2 linked regions of the Astyanax mexicanus genome follow. The protein of the gene in region 1 interacts with the protein of each later gene in a pairwise test. Links are inferred from orthologs where the notes say so. Each region holds a gene or a part of one and is shown in the gene's direction. Other genes may lie near its edges. The genes, in order: tyrosine-protein phosphatase non-receptor type 12 and pstpip1a.

The links.
Region 2: the proteins of tyrosine-protein phosphatase non-receptor type 12 (region 1) and pstpip1a interact in binary tests that used the Homo sapiens proteins (3 or more experiments, as listed by UniProt). The link is inferred for Astyanax mexicanus from reciprocal best matches to the Homo sapiens genes PTPN12 and PSTPIP1.

Annotation. Positions count from the first base shown.
Region 1 is NC_064409.1:36,016,986-36,026,300, forward strand, and holds the start of tyrosine-protein phosphatase non-receptor type 12, read left to right. Parts: upstream 1-3,100; 5' UTR 3,101-3,489; coding exon 3,490-3,588; intron 3,589-9,315. UniProt on the Homo sapiens protein: Dephosphorylates a range of proteins, and thereby regulates cellular signaling cascades. Dephosphorylates cellular tyrosine kinases, such as ERBB2 and PTK2B/PYK2, and thereby regulates signaling via ERBB2 and PTK2B/PYK2.
Region 2 is NW_026040047.1:1,867,234-1,876,548, forward strand, and holds the start of pstpip1a (proline-serine-threonine phosphatase-interacting protein 1a), read left to right. Parts: upstream 1-3,971; 5' UTR 3,972-4,436; coding exon 4,437-4,469; intron 4,470-5,777; coding exon 5,778-5,878; intron 5,879-5,973; coding exon 5,974-6,048; intron 6,049-6,204; coding exon 6,205-6,239; intron 6,240-6,333; coding exon 6,334-6,440; intron 6,441-6,556; coding exon 6,557-6,619; intron 6,620-9,315. UniProt on the Homo sapiens protein: Involved in regulation of the actin cytoskeleton. May regulate WAS actin-bundling activity. Bridges the interaction between ABL1 and PTPN18 leading to ABL1 dephosphorylation.

The DNA of each region.
Region 1 (9,315 bases):
TGAAATATAATGTAATCTTCCAATTTGGCACTAATTTCTCTCCATAATTTACCAATTAAGCAACCAAAGGCCAGTTTTAAGTGTTCTAGTTCATAGTAGGCTAATCACTTCTAGTGTAATATTGGTACATGAGATGCAGTATCTTAAAGGTCATATACAGTATATCGTGCAGTGTTTCACCTTGTTCTAGCTGTCCATGCATATTCATAAATCCACCAAAGTATTGGATTCTGGTAACACAACTGGTTTCCAGATCAGCAACATGGCACATGTAAGAGCACTGAATCACATCTACTGATTGTGGAGTTGATGAGGATTGCTGTCAGTAATTGTTCCCCTGCATGGTTTTACAGGTAAACTGTACCAAATGTCTGAGCCCAGCCAGTGGGTACAGTTGACATACTGTAACTTGTCACTGCTGTTAATCTAGAAACTATGTGAACAGAATTAATGAGGACAAAAAGAAAAAGAAAAAAGTGTAAAGGAGAAATTCCTCAAAGTCTGGAGTCTGAGGTGTTCATAGTCCACCGTCTGAATTCTAATGCCCACTCTTTTGGTACTGTGAGAGCCCAGTGCTTTTGCCCGACACTGTGGAGGGGCAGCTGGCTCTTTGACAGCTTGGGTCCAGCGTGCCCCCACAAACCAGCCTGAATGGGGCGTTTTGTTGTCATTGACGGAGCCAGGGGAACCAGGAGCGCTGTTTCTGGTTCCTTATTGAGTCCAGTTTAAGCATCAGCTCTACTTAAGGGGATCTTGGCCGTCTGAGGCCGAGGGGAATTACTGATGAATAAGGTTCCATTTAGCTCTCGTGTGGTGATGATTCACTTCAGAGCTTTGAATTCACTGCATTTCCTATAAAACCAGGCCAGAGACTCTTTTAGAGAGTTAATATTTTCGTTAGAATGGGAGAAAAGCAAAGGATTTTTCTATAATGTATAGTGTAATAACTTTATTTAGCGTATATAATAAAAACAGTGCATCAGAGTTCGACAGGATTAGTTAAACTTGCTGTGTATGTCTAATCAGACAGAAGTATATTAAATCAGTTTTACTTAGCAGTTACTTAACAGGAACTGAAAGCACTGAATAGTGTAAAATACAAATACATTATTGTACACCATCTGCAGCATTTCCTGTAAAACACATAGTTTCAAGCTCTTTTCACATACAGTATTTTATGCTGTACATTTTATACAAAGAGTGCTAATAAATGTATAGCATGTGTACACAATGTACAATTATCTGTACAGACTCCATTTCTGAATATATTTTTTGGAATTAATATAGACTTTCATATAGGACATAAAACAGCCTTGTGATAACGCAGAGCTAGTTGTATTCAACAGTTCTAAATGGTCTAGTTGTTTTTTTTATATATATATTCTCCAAAATCACCTGAAATTTACTCTTTTTACATTGACTTCCATTGAAAGTGAAGAAGATTCTTTTTTGAAGATGTTTTTCACTGGTCAGCAACAAAAGATTGTTTGTATTCTATTCTTATAGCCTGTACTGTGGTCTTGCAGTGTAGAAATAACATTTACATGATAATTATTAATAGTAATATTGTTATTTGTGGGTAGAAACTTTCACCTAAAAGCATCATGAGTGTAGATTGAGAACCCTAACATTAAAAACCTTTAAATGAATGAAATGATTCAATTATTAATGCCTATTAGGCAATGCTAAATAAAGGTTGTTTTCCATCATCAACTTTAAAAGAATGTTTATTCAATGTAATATGCTACAAAAACAACACAGAGTGTCAATTCTAAAGACAAGTACAGAACAGACAAGGGTCATCATGCTTTTTTTATTATAAAGAGAATAACATATGAATTAAAAGTTAATACAGGGAGGGTGTTTTGGCATGAAAGTAGCTGAAATGACCTACCTGCATTAGTCCTTCATTATCTTTGGGGTCAATTTGACCTTGTTTAATGTTTAATGTCTTTAAATAAATGATATATGTATATGCATATTATATAACAATTTAATGTTTACAAATGAAGTTTAAAAAAAGATTGCGTATGTGAAATAGAGGCAGAGAAAGGTGTTCCCCTTGTGTGAATATTTATGAAGCGCATGCAAAACATAGAGTGTTCTGATTGGCCAATCGTTTTTTAGTGTTGGCGTGTTCAGGATCATTATGGCTCCCATCAAAACTCATTTCACCTCTGACTACTCTAAAGTATATCCATGTTTGGTAAAAGTAAAAAACAATAAAAGTCTTGCCTGCTGTACAGATAATAGTAATAGTGATTTTAGCAATACTCTCGGGGGACTAAATAATTGCAAAAGGCATGTTGAAGTGAGTTAATGTGATATATATCACAAGGGGGGAAGGGGGTGTCCAAGTCCAGGTCCGGGGGAACCTACGTGAAAATATTTTTTGCAACTAGGTTTGTCTGCTGTATGTATTGTATGTATTTAGCCCAGCTTAGCTTAAACTATTTGGTGCCTGAAAAAAGAGGTACATAATACACATAAATAAACCAAGTTTTGATCATGTTGAGTTAGTAAAACTCCCCGAACTCCTACTGAACCGCACTGTTGTGTACCGTGTGACACCCCTGAGCTAAACAATCTTAAACCCTGCTTTGTGAAATGCTCCCTCCTCCTCTCTGTGAGAATTAGCCTGAAGACAGTGCTGTTCTGAACACTGAACAGCTCCCTCAGCTCACTCAGACACAAGTAAAAGGCAGAACAAGCCCCGTTATATCTGACAGATCAATGGTGTTAATACTGTAAACACGACCTGGTTCTGGGAATCGACATTCCTGTTCTACACAGACACACACATTTTTCTGTTTCTCGATTATCCACACGTCACCCTAGCGGTGGGCGGACCCGAGCGAAACGCGACTGGAATCTGCGTGGGAGGGGCTTACGGGCTTTCAACCAATGGTAAACTTACTCAACTGAGCACGTGACCACCAGCCTTCTCTTTTACAGCCAGCGACTCGAAGCGTTCGCGTTAGTTTGATTGACACCGGGGCTGTCCAATCAGGCGCAAGCTGCCGTGGGTCACAATCCAATCACGGAGCGTCCTTCCCACTAGAGGGTGGCAACGTGTCCGAGCGGCTTTTGGGCGGTCCAGCCAGTTTTGTTTCAGAGTTTAGTTGTTAATGTGGCAGTGAGGAGACAGGGAGGGGCGAACCGGCGTTTTGTTTGTTGTTTTTTTATTTAGATACATTTAAAAAGTATTAATATTAACTGCTTGGTGCGTTAAAGGAGGAGTGGGGACATTGTTACCTACACCCTAAGACTGTAGCTTAGCTCACCCGCTTGGATTACATGTTGTTTTCTCTCATCCGGGAGCACAGGGGAGCATGGAGCGGTAGAAGATGTTGGAATAACTGTCAGAGAAGATTTTTCTTCTTTAAGATATTTATTTAATTTATTTTTCTATATTTTTTTCGTATTCGGGAGTAGTTAACGTATCTAACTAACCGTGGGAGCAGCAGCGCTCAGGGACCGGAGTTGAGGATGGAGCAGGCGAATATCCTGAGGAAGTTCATTCAGGGGGTTCAGGCCATGCGAACAGGGGACCAGGGAGGAGAGGACAACTTCGGCAGCGACTTCATGGTAAGAAGAAAGAGGAGGAACAAGAGGAGAGACCGAGACCAGCCACACTAACACAATAAATAACCTAGTTAATACATAATTAACACACACGATCGCACTCTGTCTCTGCTGGTTTAATAGTTAGTTAGTTACCTAGGTAACTAGTTAGTTAACTGGTTAGCTTAGCTAACAGTCCTCCACCAGTGTGAAGCTGCTTTTACAGTGCCCCCTTTTCTCTCTCTCTCTCCCACTCCAGACTACTGTTCCCTGCGCTGAAGCTTTGTACAGTCTGTACTGACCTGTAGTTAGCTAGGGTTAGTTAGAAGGCTCCGCGGTGTTATGTCCAGTTATGCTACCCATCGATACGTGCTTCCTAAAGGCAATGCGCATGCGCTGACCTACACCTTTTCATTATTTCTCGCGTTTTTAAATAATAAATCATTTTTTGTGCATTAAACAACCTGGACTCACTGTCATTACACAAACGTGTAAATGGAAGCGAATATAATTTATTCAATAGCTTATAATTATTATTATAAAAAAATATATATATTTATATAAACAAAAGCAGTTTCTAATAACCCCTCATTGCCATAATAGTGATTTATGCTATCCATATATACTAGCTAGCTATGTCTACTGGGACTTTTACTGAGAACATGCTGTAATAAGGTGCTTCTTTTATATTTTTACAGTTAAATATACACACCAGGGCAGCACGGTTTGACAAGGTAGCACAGCTCGACAGAACACCGGCTGCGGCCTACGCCGACTTAGCTGCTGTAGAGTTAACTTAACATAGCTTTTTCTGTAAAAGCCCTGTAAATGTTCCTCTATGAACGGTTTAATTTACAGGCTGCGACTTGTAGTTAAAAACCCTTATTGATGTTTCTCTCCTGACGGTTAGCCGCAGCTAGCTAAATGTGGTCAGAGGGAGAGATTTCTACATGAGTGTGAGTGTGCTGTTGGGTCACATCCCTTTCTTAACTACATACCAGCTGGGTTATTTAGTTAGCTTTTATTTAAAACGTCTCTTTAACGTGTACGACAAATTTGTAACCTAGCTAGCTAACAGCTAGGTTGGGTAGTTAGCTAACTAGTTAGCTATATGTGTAAGTTACTGTATTTTCCCAAACATTAGACATAAAGCTAGTTAGGTAGTAACCTATGGTTACACGCCACTGTGAAAGCCTCTAATATTAATACTAGTGAATATTTACAGCTGATAGCTAGTTAACTAACCTATATCTGAATGGAGAGCTTCTGGTATTAAGAAACTGCACTACATATATTCTGAATTTACGGTTATAAGATGGGTTAGGACTGGGAATAGGTAGTTATCCCGCTTGTCACTTTTCACGTCTAGAACGCCTTCTTTTTGCCACACTGCTCTACTCTCTCTCTCGGCGTGTTCAGGGCGGGTCATGTAGGTGAATACTGACTGTCAACACTGTGGAGAGAACATGTTTAAATGTCTGGCTAAAATGTTAGTCTGCCTTCTGTATAAACTGCCAGCTAAATCTCTGATGTTTAGGGTTTATTTGCACTGTGAAAATCCCGGTTACAGACTTTTGTTTGCTGGCTAACATTTGGACACAGCTAAGCTAGCAGCAGCAGCCGCTAACGTTAACAGCGTCTTTGTCCAAAACCAGCGCTGTTCGCTGGGAAGCAGCGGGCGGCTCGGGCTTGTTTCTGCTCTGTTTAAAAAAAACAGAAGACAGCTTCTATAAAGAAGTCAGCACGTATGTGTATTTTCCGGAAGATATGGACACGTTAATGGGATAGTTAGTTAGCTAAACGGGCGGTTTATGGGGGTCCAGCGTGGTGGTGGCGGCGGTGGTATGAGGGAGTTCCGCGGATGTTGCGCAAGGAGCTGAGCCGTTTAAGCACAGAGAGGAAGAGGAGGGTTTCTCACTCAGTCCAACACTGAAAAAAAAACCCTGAAAACCACTGAAATAAACACGATAAACTATTGATTCCAGAATATAACGTCAACATCAGGGATAGCCGAAACATTATACACGTGTGTCACGTTGGAAGGCATTTGTTTTAATTGCTTTAAGTATGGACGATATGGCCCTTAAACAATATCACGATATTTCTTAGTATTTTCGCGATAACGACACTTTTGGCAACATGGCAAAACACCGAATTACAAAATTATTTCAAGAATACACTACTGCAACAAAATGAAAATCAATGATTCAGAATGTTGTGATACTAATAATGCACTACAAATATCTCCACATATCCAAAACTGAAGTAAAATAAATTATACTGGACAGATATAATCTGTCTATAGTAGATATATAATGGTAAATGAGAACAGTGTGAATTTTTCTTTTGCTAAAAACAGCAAAAAAGTAGTACCCTGATGTGATAATATTGGCAATATTATTGCGTACCATACAATATAGCAAATCCCTACTTTAAATGCCTGTACTAATCAACTAGCGTAATAATCATGACTGTAGACTGTGACTGTAGTCACACAAGTCATAATAACTAATGTGGGGAATATAGGGATATCCCAGCTGGGATCCAGACAGTTTGACCATGGTCTTGTCCATGTGGGTCCCACATATGGATGACTGATTGGACCATGAATGGTTACACATGGGCCCCATTTGGGAGATGCACTGCACACACAAGCTTAAGGTGGGCTATAATGCTGGGACCCATTTAGAATAAGCATGATGACTGGGACATTGGTATATAATAGCTATGACATGACTGTAGAATGGCTTAGGGTCCAATCAGGGACCCAGAACCTATTAGGACTGCATTAGACAGTAAACACTTTTTTATAATCAAAAATATATAATTTTAACATATTTTTATTGTGGTATATACAAAAAGAGACCACTTAAAATGATGTGTTTCTTTGATTTTTATTGAAAACCTCCTGAATATAATCAAGAGGAAGATGGATGACCACAAGCCATCCAACCAAGCTGAACTGCATGCATTTTTGCACCTGGAGTGGCATAAAGTTATTCAAAAACAGTGTGTAAGACTGGTGGAGGAGAACATCCTGGGATGAATGAAAACTGTGGTTAAGGTTCGGGTTATTTCACCAAATATTGATTTCAGAACTCTTACTTGTTTTCTTTGCATTATTTGAGGTCTGAAAACACTGCATTCTTTTCTCATTTTTCGCAAATAAATGCTCTAACAATATTTATATTTGGAATTTGGGAGAAATGTTGTCTTTAGTTTATAGAATAAAACAACAATATTCATTTTACTCAGACATATACCTATATTTAGCAAAATTAGAAAAAAATGATTTAGAAACTGAAGTGGCCTCTTAATTTTTTTGCAGAGCAGTAAGTTAAATTATTATAAATTATTGTCCAGCCAAATTATTGTCTTTTTGTTAAGATTTGCTTGATTCAAAATACAGAAACCTGTAGAATACCAAGATAGTCCTGATTACTGTATCCTACGAAGGTATTGCTGCTGTTGTCAACAGATATATGAAAGTGTGTTAGGCCTCTGTTTTTCTCTTTTGAGAAGTTAACATGCTGACCTGTAATGTACATTTGGGGAAGAATCTGTTGGTGAAATTTGACTTAATGTAACTTCCTGTAGGTTGCTGTTGCACATACTATACTATGTTGCCTTCCTTTCTGTATTTATAGTTTGTTTAAAAAGTCCATAAATATGTGCTTTCCACAGTTGCAGCTGGGCAGTATTTTGCAGTGGGAGGTGGGTGGGTTATTTAGTGACCGCGATGCCTTTTTAAAATCATTTAGTGATGCCATTAGATGAACTCTTATCTTACATTTTCCATTTATAACTTCTAATAACTTCAACTCTAATATGGGGTTTTGTACTGAAAACAGGTATTACATTTACACAACATCCCTCATTAATTTGGGGCTTTGTGTCGTCCATTTCTGCACAGTTTTCATGGTTCTGTTTATTTCTTTACATGGTTCATGTCCAGAGAATTGTGGATAACCGAAGGCTAAGGATGCATTAGTTGCATCCTGTAATTTGCTTCTTATGTTAGCTGCATTTCTTAGCTCTATATGAAAGGTCCTTATGTAAAAAGACCAAGTTTGCATATTTTGACTTCTTTTTACTGAAAAATGATTGGTACGTTTCATATTTTTTCCTGAATATACATCTTTTACCATAAAGAGCACATTTCAGGTTTTAATGATACAAATTCTTTAGGAGTTAGTGAGAGAAGTAAACTACTGTATATGGAAATAAGTATTGGATCACTTGCTCATTTATTGTTTATTAAAAAGAGTATACTGTTTTGTTGGAGTAACAAAAGATTTTCTATTTAATTTTGGAGCACAGCTGTGTGGATTTGGTTGCATTCAGTGACGAGATCAGAATTGCCACTCCAACTCATCTCTATGTCTAAAAACACATCCCAGAATTACTGGATGGAGCACCATTATTCTAGAGAACACTGCTCCACTGATTTTCTCTTCTCTACTTCTCTAAAGGGACTAGGTTAATTTCGTTGCACATCTGTGTCAGCAATGGGTGTCTGAGCCTACTTAATTTATTTTTATTTGAGGGTTTTCACACTTTCTTCTACAGCAGTCTCTTCATAGTCCCTCTGAGCATGAAGGGAACTGAGTCGTACAGGGTTATTAGTTTATTAGTGCTATTAGTCTGTACTGAGCGATGCTATAGACCCCCTCTGGTTTACAGAGCAGTGTCACCCTCTTCATACATTTAGCACTTTTTCTTTCCCGCTGTCCTGACCTCTTAAGGAGTGAGACAGCTTTGATTCACAGACAGCTGGACAGTGGAGGGCTTGGGTGCGACAACAGTCTGGCTTTGTTGTGTTATTCTCCTTGTTTGCTGATTCAGCCGCAGGGTGTGAGTATAGCCATGGCTTTAACATTAGAGCAATAGAGTGTAGAGTACAAATTTCATGTTCAGTATTTACTTGTATTTATTTGTAATTATTATTTTGAGAATTGGTGTGTTTGTTTTGTGAGTGGACAGGGGTCTCGTGCAGGCATTGTGTGTAACAGACAGAGCCAGAGGGCAGAGTTCACACACATTTGTGTCTTGCTGCTCCTCCTGGGGGATGAGTTGGGGGAGGGGGTGGAATTGACTTACATCTGAGCCTACATCTGGTGTGTGCAGTGCTAGAAATGAGCTTGTCCAGGCTGCCATACTTACCCTTACAGTAACCAGGCCATCTTCCATCATAAAGAAAACTCCTTCCAATGGTTCTTTGAGGTCTCATGGTTCCATAAAGAACCACTGCCTTTACTACAGACAGTTTACCAATTAACATTTTCTCACATTTCTCACATATGCCTCACTACCAGAATCCAGACTTTGATCCTAGTAGCACATTTACTATCGGAATGCCTAAATATACCTATTCCTAAATGATACTGTGGCAATTTAGACCATTTTTTATCCAAAAATCTTAAGCCAGGAAAAGTTTAAGGCCTATGTTTTATCACAGTATATTTCTTATATTACAGTATAGTTATGAAGTCAATCTGGGCAATACAAAATCACAAAAAAACAGTCAAGAATGCCCACAATGGATGTCCATGAGTATGAAGTTAAGAAAAATAAGTTTGCCAACCCTGGAACCCTGTCAGTAACGCATGCTGTAAATAATGTATTTTAAAATATCAGAAAAGTGTATAAAATCATGGAATCATGGAACTTTTCTATTGTGATATGTTTTGATATTAAATTATTGTCCAGACCAAAAAGACCTGTCATTTTAAACCACTGAGGGACAGTTTC
Region 2 (9,315 bases), on another chromosome or scaffold:
CTAGAGGTCCAACTCAAGACGGCAAACTCAAAAAAACAAAGAAGAGAACGAAAAAAAACCCAGAAAGAGAAGAGAACATTCAAGCAGGGACTGACAGTGATGAGGATGACTATGAATACCACTGCATAACTGTGCCACAGCCTCAATACAGTTGCAACACTGGACGTGATATTCAGACAAAAGCTCAAGAGCCAGCTGTACAAACTGAGAATCAAGTTCTTGGATTGGAAAATGTGCCCCAGCAAAGTGAGGCCCACGATAGGAACTGTGCTCTGGATCAGGACATTCAGCCAGAGATGTCTGCTCAAGGGAGACAAACAGTTGAACAGGATAATTTCTTTGAGAGAAGCGAATCACTCCCTCCGTGTACTGCTGCTGACAGCATTGATGATGAAACGAAGGCAAAGTACAAGTATCAACGACCCAACAGAGAGAAGCGAGCACCAAAGTTATTCACCTATGACCAGCTTGGTACCCCAGTATGCTATCTAGCTTCTCTTTCAGAAAGTGACACTCACAGGCATTTTCCTTGGCCTTGGGATGTGGAACATACAAGACAAACATGGATGGACCCTACACAATTTTACTTTCCCCCTGGGCATTACTGTTCAATGCATTTGCATAGGAACTGAGTAAAAGACATCCTGGGAATGTTGATGGACTGTTCACCTCTGTTCTTTCACGCATACAAATATGTTCACAACATTCATAGACTGTGAACAGAGTTGTTTACATATACCTACTAGGGATGGACAACACCTGAAAGAACTTTCACACTTATACATTTGAAACATACCATGAACTGTGATAAAACAGATTGGTCATGTACACATACGATGGACACAAACTAAAAAGAAACTGAACTGACACATACACCCCTGCTCACAACACTTATGGACTGTGGATAAGCAGAGTACCTGATGAATATGGACATGAACTAAAAGGACTTCCACACACACACACACACACCTATGCTCACAACACTCATGGACTGTGGATAGACAGAGCAGTTGAGTACACTTACCCAATGGACATGAACATAAGATAAACAGACTTTCCCTCTCACATGCGCACATATGCTTGCAACACGCATGGACTGTGAAAAAGCAGAGCACACAAATTTGCAGAATGGAAAAAAAAAGGAAAAAGAAGACACTGTTCATGTTAGTGGACACTGATAAATAGAAATACATTTCCTTTCTGCAGTAGAGACTTACCTAAAAGAACAGAAAGGAGTTTGACTGTTGGCTATATACAAAAAAATGGTTGAAAAAAAATGTAATGTGCAAACACATTCTTTGTGATGTCGGGACGACATCTATATTGGTGGGGAGTGTGTGATATACTGAAAAAAGGGAGATAAAAAATATCTATATAAATATATATATGTAAAAAAGAAAAGAAAATATATAGAGAAAAAGGAAAATAGTTCTGTGTTGTTTTGATATTATTACTAGTCACTGTATTTCAAGTTATTGGGTTATTACTGTGTACACCAGTTGGTTGAGCCTGTGCTAGGGGCGTGTCTAGTTTGGACTGAGTGAGGGGAACAGAGAGCACATGCTGAGATTGCATCATACTAAAGTTATGCTGCTTTGAACACTCATCAGTGTGTCCTGTGTTCATTAAATTTGGTATTTTCCACTATCCCCTCTCTCAGGGGCGTAACAAACACTCCCGTCCTATACAAAAAAAAGCACACAACTTATATTTAACATAAATTTTAAATCCAACATAAATAAGAGTACACACATATAAGAATTAGGCCTTTATGTGCCAAATATCTACAACTGCTGTTTGTGAACTTTCACTTCAGCAAAGGCAACCACAATTTCTTACAGATTAATATAGCAGATTTAAGAATTCTGTTGTCTGAGAATTAGAGAAACGCACGCATGCTTTGGCTTTGTGCATGGATGCAACTAGACACGTACCCCTCTTTTAGGGTGTTTTCACACCAGATCAGTTAATGAGTTTGTTTACTGATCTGAACTAAACCATCCTTTACCCTTTATAAACCTAACAGAAGGAGTTTAAATATCATCAGATAATGAGGGTCATGGAAGTAAATAAATGTAGCAATATATTTATCAATAAATATATAAATAAATGCAGAAACAGCCCTAAATAAAGGTTTATGCATGGAAATATTTTAAGTGTGTACTTTTAATGTATTTATCTATACAATTATGTATTTATATATTTATTTATTCATTTATACTTCCATTTATTTATTTATGCTTATGTCACTTTTCTGCCTCCATATTTTGGGACTTTTTCAGTCCCATCATGTTTTTTATGCATATGCATGCCTGGCTGGATAAAAAATGCAGAAACGAGTATTTTTCTGCCTGCGGAGGATGTTTTTAACATTGTTAAATGCTGAACTGGCGCAGGCTACACTGGGTGGGCAATCGGGGAATGAAAATGTCATTATACTACAGAGACCTGGCCTTCCTGCTCAGAAGAGTGTCCACACAGTCCTGATAATAGTGAAGTTTGGCCACAATAGCACAAGGCTTGCCCCCCCTGCTGCCTCGGTTGCAGACGGTGGTAAAACTCGATCCAGACATCTCCTCCACATTCAGAGTTAGAATATTCGTGCTCCTCATTCGTCCCTTCAGGTCGACTCGTTTCTCCCGCAGAGCAGCTACATGTTTGCTAAGCCTGTGCACGGTTGTTTGCAGAGTAGTGATATCATCTGAGCATGTGGAGCGGCCATGCTCCATTTCAGTTTTTGTTTCACACTATCCATGTCCGTACGTAGCACAGCCACACTGCTACCCTTAAAAAAAGTTTCAGTGACATACTAAACATAATTATACATCAGCAATAATACATGAGATGGAGTGCTATAATGTGTAATATTGGCACTACTGTGCTGCAGTCGTAGGCATGCGGCCGTAGGCCAAAAGCTCGATTTTTGTCCCATCTGACCACAGAACCTTCTCCCAATCACTCTCAGAATCCTCCAGGTATTTATTGGCTAACTAAAGACGGTTCTGCACATGTTCCTTCTTCGACAGGAGGACCTTGCAGCACTGCAGAACTTTAATCCATTACAGCATAATGTCTTACCAAAAGGTTTTCTTGGTGACTGGGGTCCCAGCTGCCTTGAGATCATTAAGAACTTCCCCTTGTGTAGTTTTAGGCTGATCTTTCACCTTCCTCATGATCAAGTATACTCCACGAGGTGAGAGTTTGCATGGAACCCCAGATTGATGTTGATTGATAGTCATTTTGTATTTCTTTCATTTTCTTACAACTAATTCACACTTTTAATGTGACAACGTGCTTAGCGGTACGCCATCCGCGCACAGGAAGAAGGAGTAGGCGGCGGAGGTTTTAGTTGAGAAGAGAGTGTTTTAAAGCAGCGAGGGAAAAGAGCGACAACTTACGAGGCAAAAACGACTATAATAATGGAGCATTTAGGCTGAACAGCGTGTATTCGCTCTTGTCTCCCACAACAACACACTTTAATGCTGCACCGACTCAGCCTGAGGAGTTTATAAATAAATACATGATACCGGCTCTGTGAGACGGACTGGCGACATCTCTGCTGTTCAGAAGCTAAGACACACAACATAATGCAAACGTTTATGCCTTTTTATTGATTATTCCCTATAGTTTTGATACTTACAAGAAATCCTTGTTGAAAAAAATTTAACTTAATTGTTTTAAAGTACTAATTATAAAAATAATTATTATTTCTTTATTTATTTCTATTTGTGTTTGCTGTTTGAAATGTATGCTGTGAAGTTAAAAATATAACTTTAAAAAAGGAAATCAATTGGTCATTTATTATTAAGTAAAATGTCTTGTTTTCTTGAGTATTTTTAATTACTCTTTAAGCAAACAAATATGTCTTATCCAATTTCTCAATAAATCAAATTGATTTTTCAGTACAGTACTTGATTACTAAAATAATCAATAGCTGCAGCCCTAGACTGAATTATTATTTCTCTCTGCAAAATGCAAATCAATTGATATAATTTATACAATTTGATATTTTTTTGGATTTTATTTTTGATATTCTATTTCTCACGGTTAAAATTAACCTTCCCTTAAAATTATAGACTGTTCATGTCTTTTACAGTTTGGAAACTTCAAATCAGCAAGAGATTCAATAATTATTTACTTCACTGTATAGTGTAACCTTCTGTTCAATTTAGCATCTTCTATTTCAGGAGGTTCATTATGTCCAGCGTTTGAACGGTGACTAAAACAGGCTGTTATCTACAGGGCGCCTGTGGTCAGTGACATAATGCAGAAGCTCTTCCTCATCCTAGTCGAACACAGGCAGCACAAGTGAACTGCTGTGAGGTCTTGGGTTTCCTGTGTGTACTGCTGTTGTTCCTTTTTTAACTGAAAATTTGACTTACTCACTGCATTTCGCTGGAGTTTGCGCTGGAGTAAACAGAGCTACAGAGGCTGAGATGACACCGTTACAGTTTAAAGATGCGTTCTGGGTAAGTAATCATGTGTTAAGATGTTTTAGAAGTTTGATGTTTCAGCTGAAGTCCATGTGTGGCAGGTGTATATCTGGATATGAATGTTCCTTTTTGAACTGTAACGTTCATCTTGTGTTTCTTGTACAGTTTTAAAGAAGGATGTTCCACGTTCTAGGCTGTAGAGTGTTGTCATAAACTGGCAGAATGGTAGTCTGAGAGTTGTCAAGTCAAGTCAAGTCAAGAGGCTTTTATTGTCATTACGTCTGAGTACAGGTACACAGTGTGATGAAATTACGTTCCTCCGGAACCATGGTGCAACATAGAACCACAAGCAATAGACAACATAAAGTGCAGGAGTGACGACAGTGCAACATAAAATTATAAAATTATAACACTAAATAACAATAAATACAATAAATACAAAAGACGAGACAATTTAAAGACAGGACAGTGCAGTACCTTCTACGTTGTGTGTAGAAGTATGGTAGAAGTATATACTCCCCTCTTTTATGTATGTATGTATGTATCTATATAATATATTCTACACAATCCACTCTTACTGTCCATTCTAAATAAAACACTAAAGCAGATATCTCGTAGTTTAATGGTCAGAGAATAGCGTTCCCTGCCAGGAGGTAATGGGTGTTTCTGTAGTTTTTAGAGCGTGGGGGGGATCGGTAATCAGGTCGGCATTGTCAGGGTAAACCACTTCCACTCTTTTTGCGGATTCTCTTCAAGAATTGTTCTCCCCTGGAACTGCATGACACATGTGGCTTTGATCTTCAGCGATATATGTATACATATATATAAAACAACAAATCTTCAAAGCAGCACGGAACGTTTCTGGGTTCATTTGCATCCTAGCTCTCGCCTCATAAACCTGTTTTACCTGATGCACTTCCAGAGGTCGAGCTGTTCCCATGATTAAAAAAGTACATTCTGGATCTGCTTCTGCTAAAGTTTTAGATTTATAGGACAGAAGTGTGGCTGTAAAGAGTCTAAACGAGATCATCCCGCATGTGTGGAACAGCTAGAATCTAGACGTGGCATTCTATTTGTGAGCTGAGCCACCAACGGTTTAATTCCAGAATTCAGGATGAGTAACATGACATGACGCACTGGTAGTAGTATGGAAAGATGATCTTGTGATGTGAATTAGCCTGAAATACACCACGTTGTTGCTGTGTTGGTTTAAACAAGCCTTTCCTGATTATAATTTCCTCTAAATGTGAACTTATTAATTAAAAATAATTTATGGTTATATGAGCTGAGAAAAACACTTTATCTGGATGGTGAAGAGATAACACTTCCTCCACTGGCACTTAGGGCCCAGACTTTGTTAGCAACGCCGGGTACGAGGCCCTCACCCAGAGGCTCTACGATGGCCGGCGGGCCTGCAAAGACATGGAGGAGCTCTTGAAGATGAGGTGATCTTTTAAATTGATTTACTTTCCATTTGAATAAGATTTGAAGCTCATTTAGACGTGATGATGTGATGAGAAGGGGCTTCTGCTCTTTGCAGGGCGATGGCAGAAGAGAAGTATGGCAAAGAGCTAGTGGCTATTGCACGAAAGGCTGGAGGCCAAAGTGAAATAGGGTAAGTGGTTAACTTTTAACTCCTCCGCACAGAGTGCTCCACTCCTGACAAGGTACTAATCCACACTACTGAGAATCAGGCTTAGGACATAAGCAGAAAGAATGTGGATGTGAGACACATCCATATTAGTAACACGTTCCTCATTTCTTCTTGCAGCACTTTAAAGGCTTCGTTTGACCAACTCAAAGCACGTAAGTGGCAGGGCGGCACGTCCCGCTGGTTTTATCAGTTATAATTTATGCACTTAAACTGGACCACAGACACTGATGTTTAATTTACAAACAGAAATCGAGAACATCGGAAACTTGCACATCCACCTCTCGGGGATGTTAAAAGAAGAAGTCAAGCGCATGGAGCAGTTCAGAGAACGTCAGAAAGAGCAGCGGAAAAAGGTGCGTCCGTGCAGAAAGACACAGTGGGTTTTATCCTGACCTTCATCCTCTATCTGTCTCACCAGCCCACACTGAGGCCTGGCAGGGCTCTGATTATGAACCTTTCTCTATTGCAGTTTGAGGGAATCATGGAGAAGGTTCATAAGACCAAAGTCTCTCAGTACAAGAAGACGATAGAGGTGAGTCTCAGACTTTCAGATAAATCACAAAAGCACGACCCGAGGGGCAGGGGCAGATACTACCCGCCTCACTTTTCACACTCAGAAAGATGTGCTGCTGAACCAGAAGATCAGTCAGGAAATTACACGTCTATAAGTGGCACTGAGAGAGTGAGAGAGCGAAAGAGCGAGAGAGCAGGAAGAGGAAGAAGCATTCAAAGTCAATTTAAATCGGTGTGCATTTCCGTGCCTGTGTGTGTGTGTGTGTGTGTGTGTGTGTGTGGTTTTTGTGTGTGTGGTGGGGTCAGTGCTCAAAAGTCCCACATCTATTCCTCATTAATATTTTTAAAACCCCACACACACACACACACACACATAAACCAACGCAAGTTTCCCTATTCCTCTCATAGATTGGTAATTTCCTCAAAATGCGGTGTGTTCTCACACACACTCTTGTACTAGTGTGTTCTGAAGATCAGGACAGTTTTAAGATCACAGAGTAACTGTTTAAAGTGAATCATCTTAAATCTAATCTAAACATATATTTCTGATTGAAATTATTTACTACTGAATTATTAATCGTGTCCCTTATTTAAGTTACTTAAGGTAAGAGACTCTGTGCTATTGCATTGACAAATAGTTAATAAACATATTTTAAAATGTTTTATCAGATTTTCTCCCCAGTTTATAAGGCCTATTACGCAACCCACACAATAGGTGACATGTGAAGTCAGACTCCACCTATTTTTGAACTGCTACTGATGCAGCATTGCTGAGTAGCATCATAGCACTAACGCTCGACACGGAAAGCACAGCGACTCGGTTCTGATACATCAGCTCACAGATGCAGTCTTGTGCTGATCCACATCACCCTTTGGAGTTGTATGGGAGGAGACAACAGGCCTATGCCTTTTCCCCCTAATGCGTATTCCGTCTTTCCAGTATTTTATATGAGACTTAGGTGAGATACTAAAATAGACTAATCTAACTCCAATTTATGAACACCAACTAGGTGGAAATAAACAGTTAGCCATTATCAGTAGCACATATTCTAAGATTAGGTTCTGTCTAACAAAACCAGGTTTGGGTAAATAGTTCAGTGATAGGAGATATGGGCATTAAAGCTACACAACGATACGGCGTAACATGTGAGAACAGCCTGATACCGGGGTGTTCAGCGGTCCAGAACTTAGTCTACACTAGCGGTTACAGAACATAACACTCAATCTTATCTGTTTCCCTCAGAGGGTAAAATATGGCATAGCCTAAAAATGACTGCATAACATGTGAAAACAGCCCGGCACCTCGGTTGAGATGTTCAGCGGTCCAGAACTTAATCTACATTAAGAGTTACAGAACATAACACTTAAACTTTCTGATATAGCGCCTAGTGAAACTCACTATATAACTATGGAAGTCCAGAAACTAGTGTTTCATTATTATTGTGTTATTAATTTTTAGTCTTTTAAAATGCAGGCATTATTTGCCTCGCAGAGTAAGGCTTATCTGGCTTTTACTTTGCTTAATGTGCACCGTATGTATGAAAATAGATCAGAAAATAGACGATAGTGTGCCTTATAATAGGGTGCGCATTATAGTGGTAAATTCTGCCTCATTTCGATGACAGAGACATCAGGGACCAGGACATTTTTTTTCCAAATTAGCAATAACTAATGTCAGCAGCGAACTAGCTAACATACTAATGTTATTGGGGAGAGCACTGACCTTATCAACAAGCTAGTTAACACACTAACGTTATTGGGGAGAGAACTAAAGCTAGTGATGAGCTAGCTAACTTTAGTGATGAGCTAGCTAACTTTAGAGACAAACTAGCTGAAATACTAATGGCACCAGGGAGAGAAGTAAAACTAGCATTGAGCTAGCTAATCTTAGTGCTTGTCACCTTAGTGATGAGCTAGCTAAAATACTAATGTTACCAGAGAGAGAACTAAAGCTACTGACATTTTAGCTAGCTCACCACTAAGGTTAGTTAGCTCATTAATAAGATATTCTAATTTAGATTAATTGACTTCATGTGGTGATTTCTGATTAAGTTTTTGAAGAGACACAGAATAATAATTCTGATAATTTAGATTAATAGAGATTATACTTTAATTTTTTTATTTTTGTATTTTAATCTTGGTCTTGGTCTCGGTTTTTCCAGGTCTCGGTCTTGACTTTAAAAGTCTTGGTCTTGACCCAGAAATTACTAATACTTGACTCGGAAATACTAATGTCCGAGGTGAGAAGTCGGGGTGTTGTAAAGACCATTAGGGTACCGCATTGAATAATATTACAGAGTGATGATGAAAGAGCGTTTCTTGGGGCTCCAACAGCTGCTAATGGCAAGCTGCATAAAGGGGATTCGAATCTGCAATCTCAAAATCATAGTAAAAGTGCTTTAAAACAATGAGACACTTTTGTTAGATAAACTGATTTTCTCACTGTTTCTAATTAATCTAAAAATGTATGTAAACTGTTAAATAGTAAAGTAGTATGTACATTCTGAACGTTACTAAATTATTAATAATATGATAATAAAATGTTAAATATTTACATTACCCAGCCAACACACTAATGGGGGCCTCAAATAAAAGCAAAGCATGTTCTAGGTGGTTCCATTTTTACAGGACCAACATTGAACTCACAGACAAAATGGAAATGTTATCTGAGTAGATGTAAGATATGCTTTATCCACAGTTTCACTTTTTCCACAG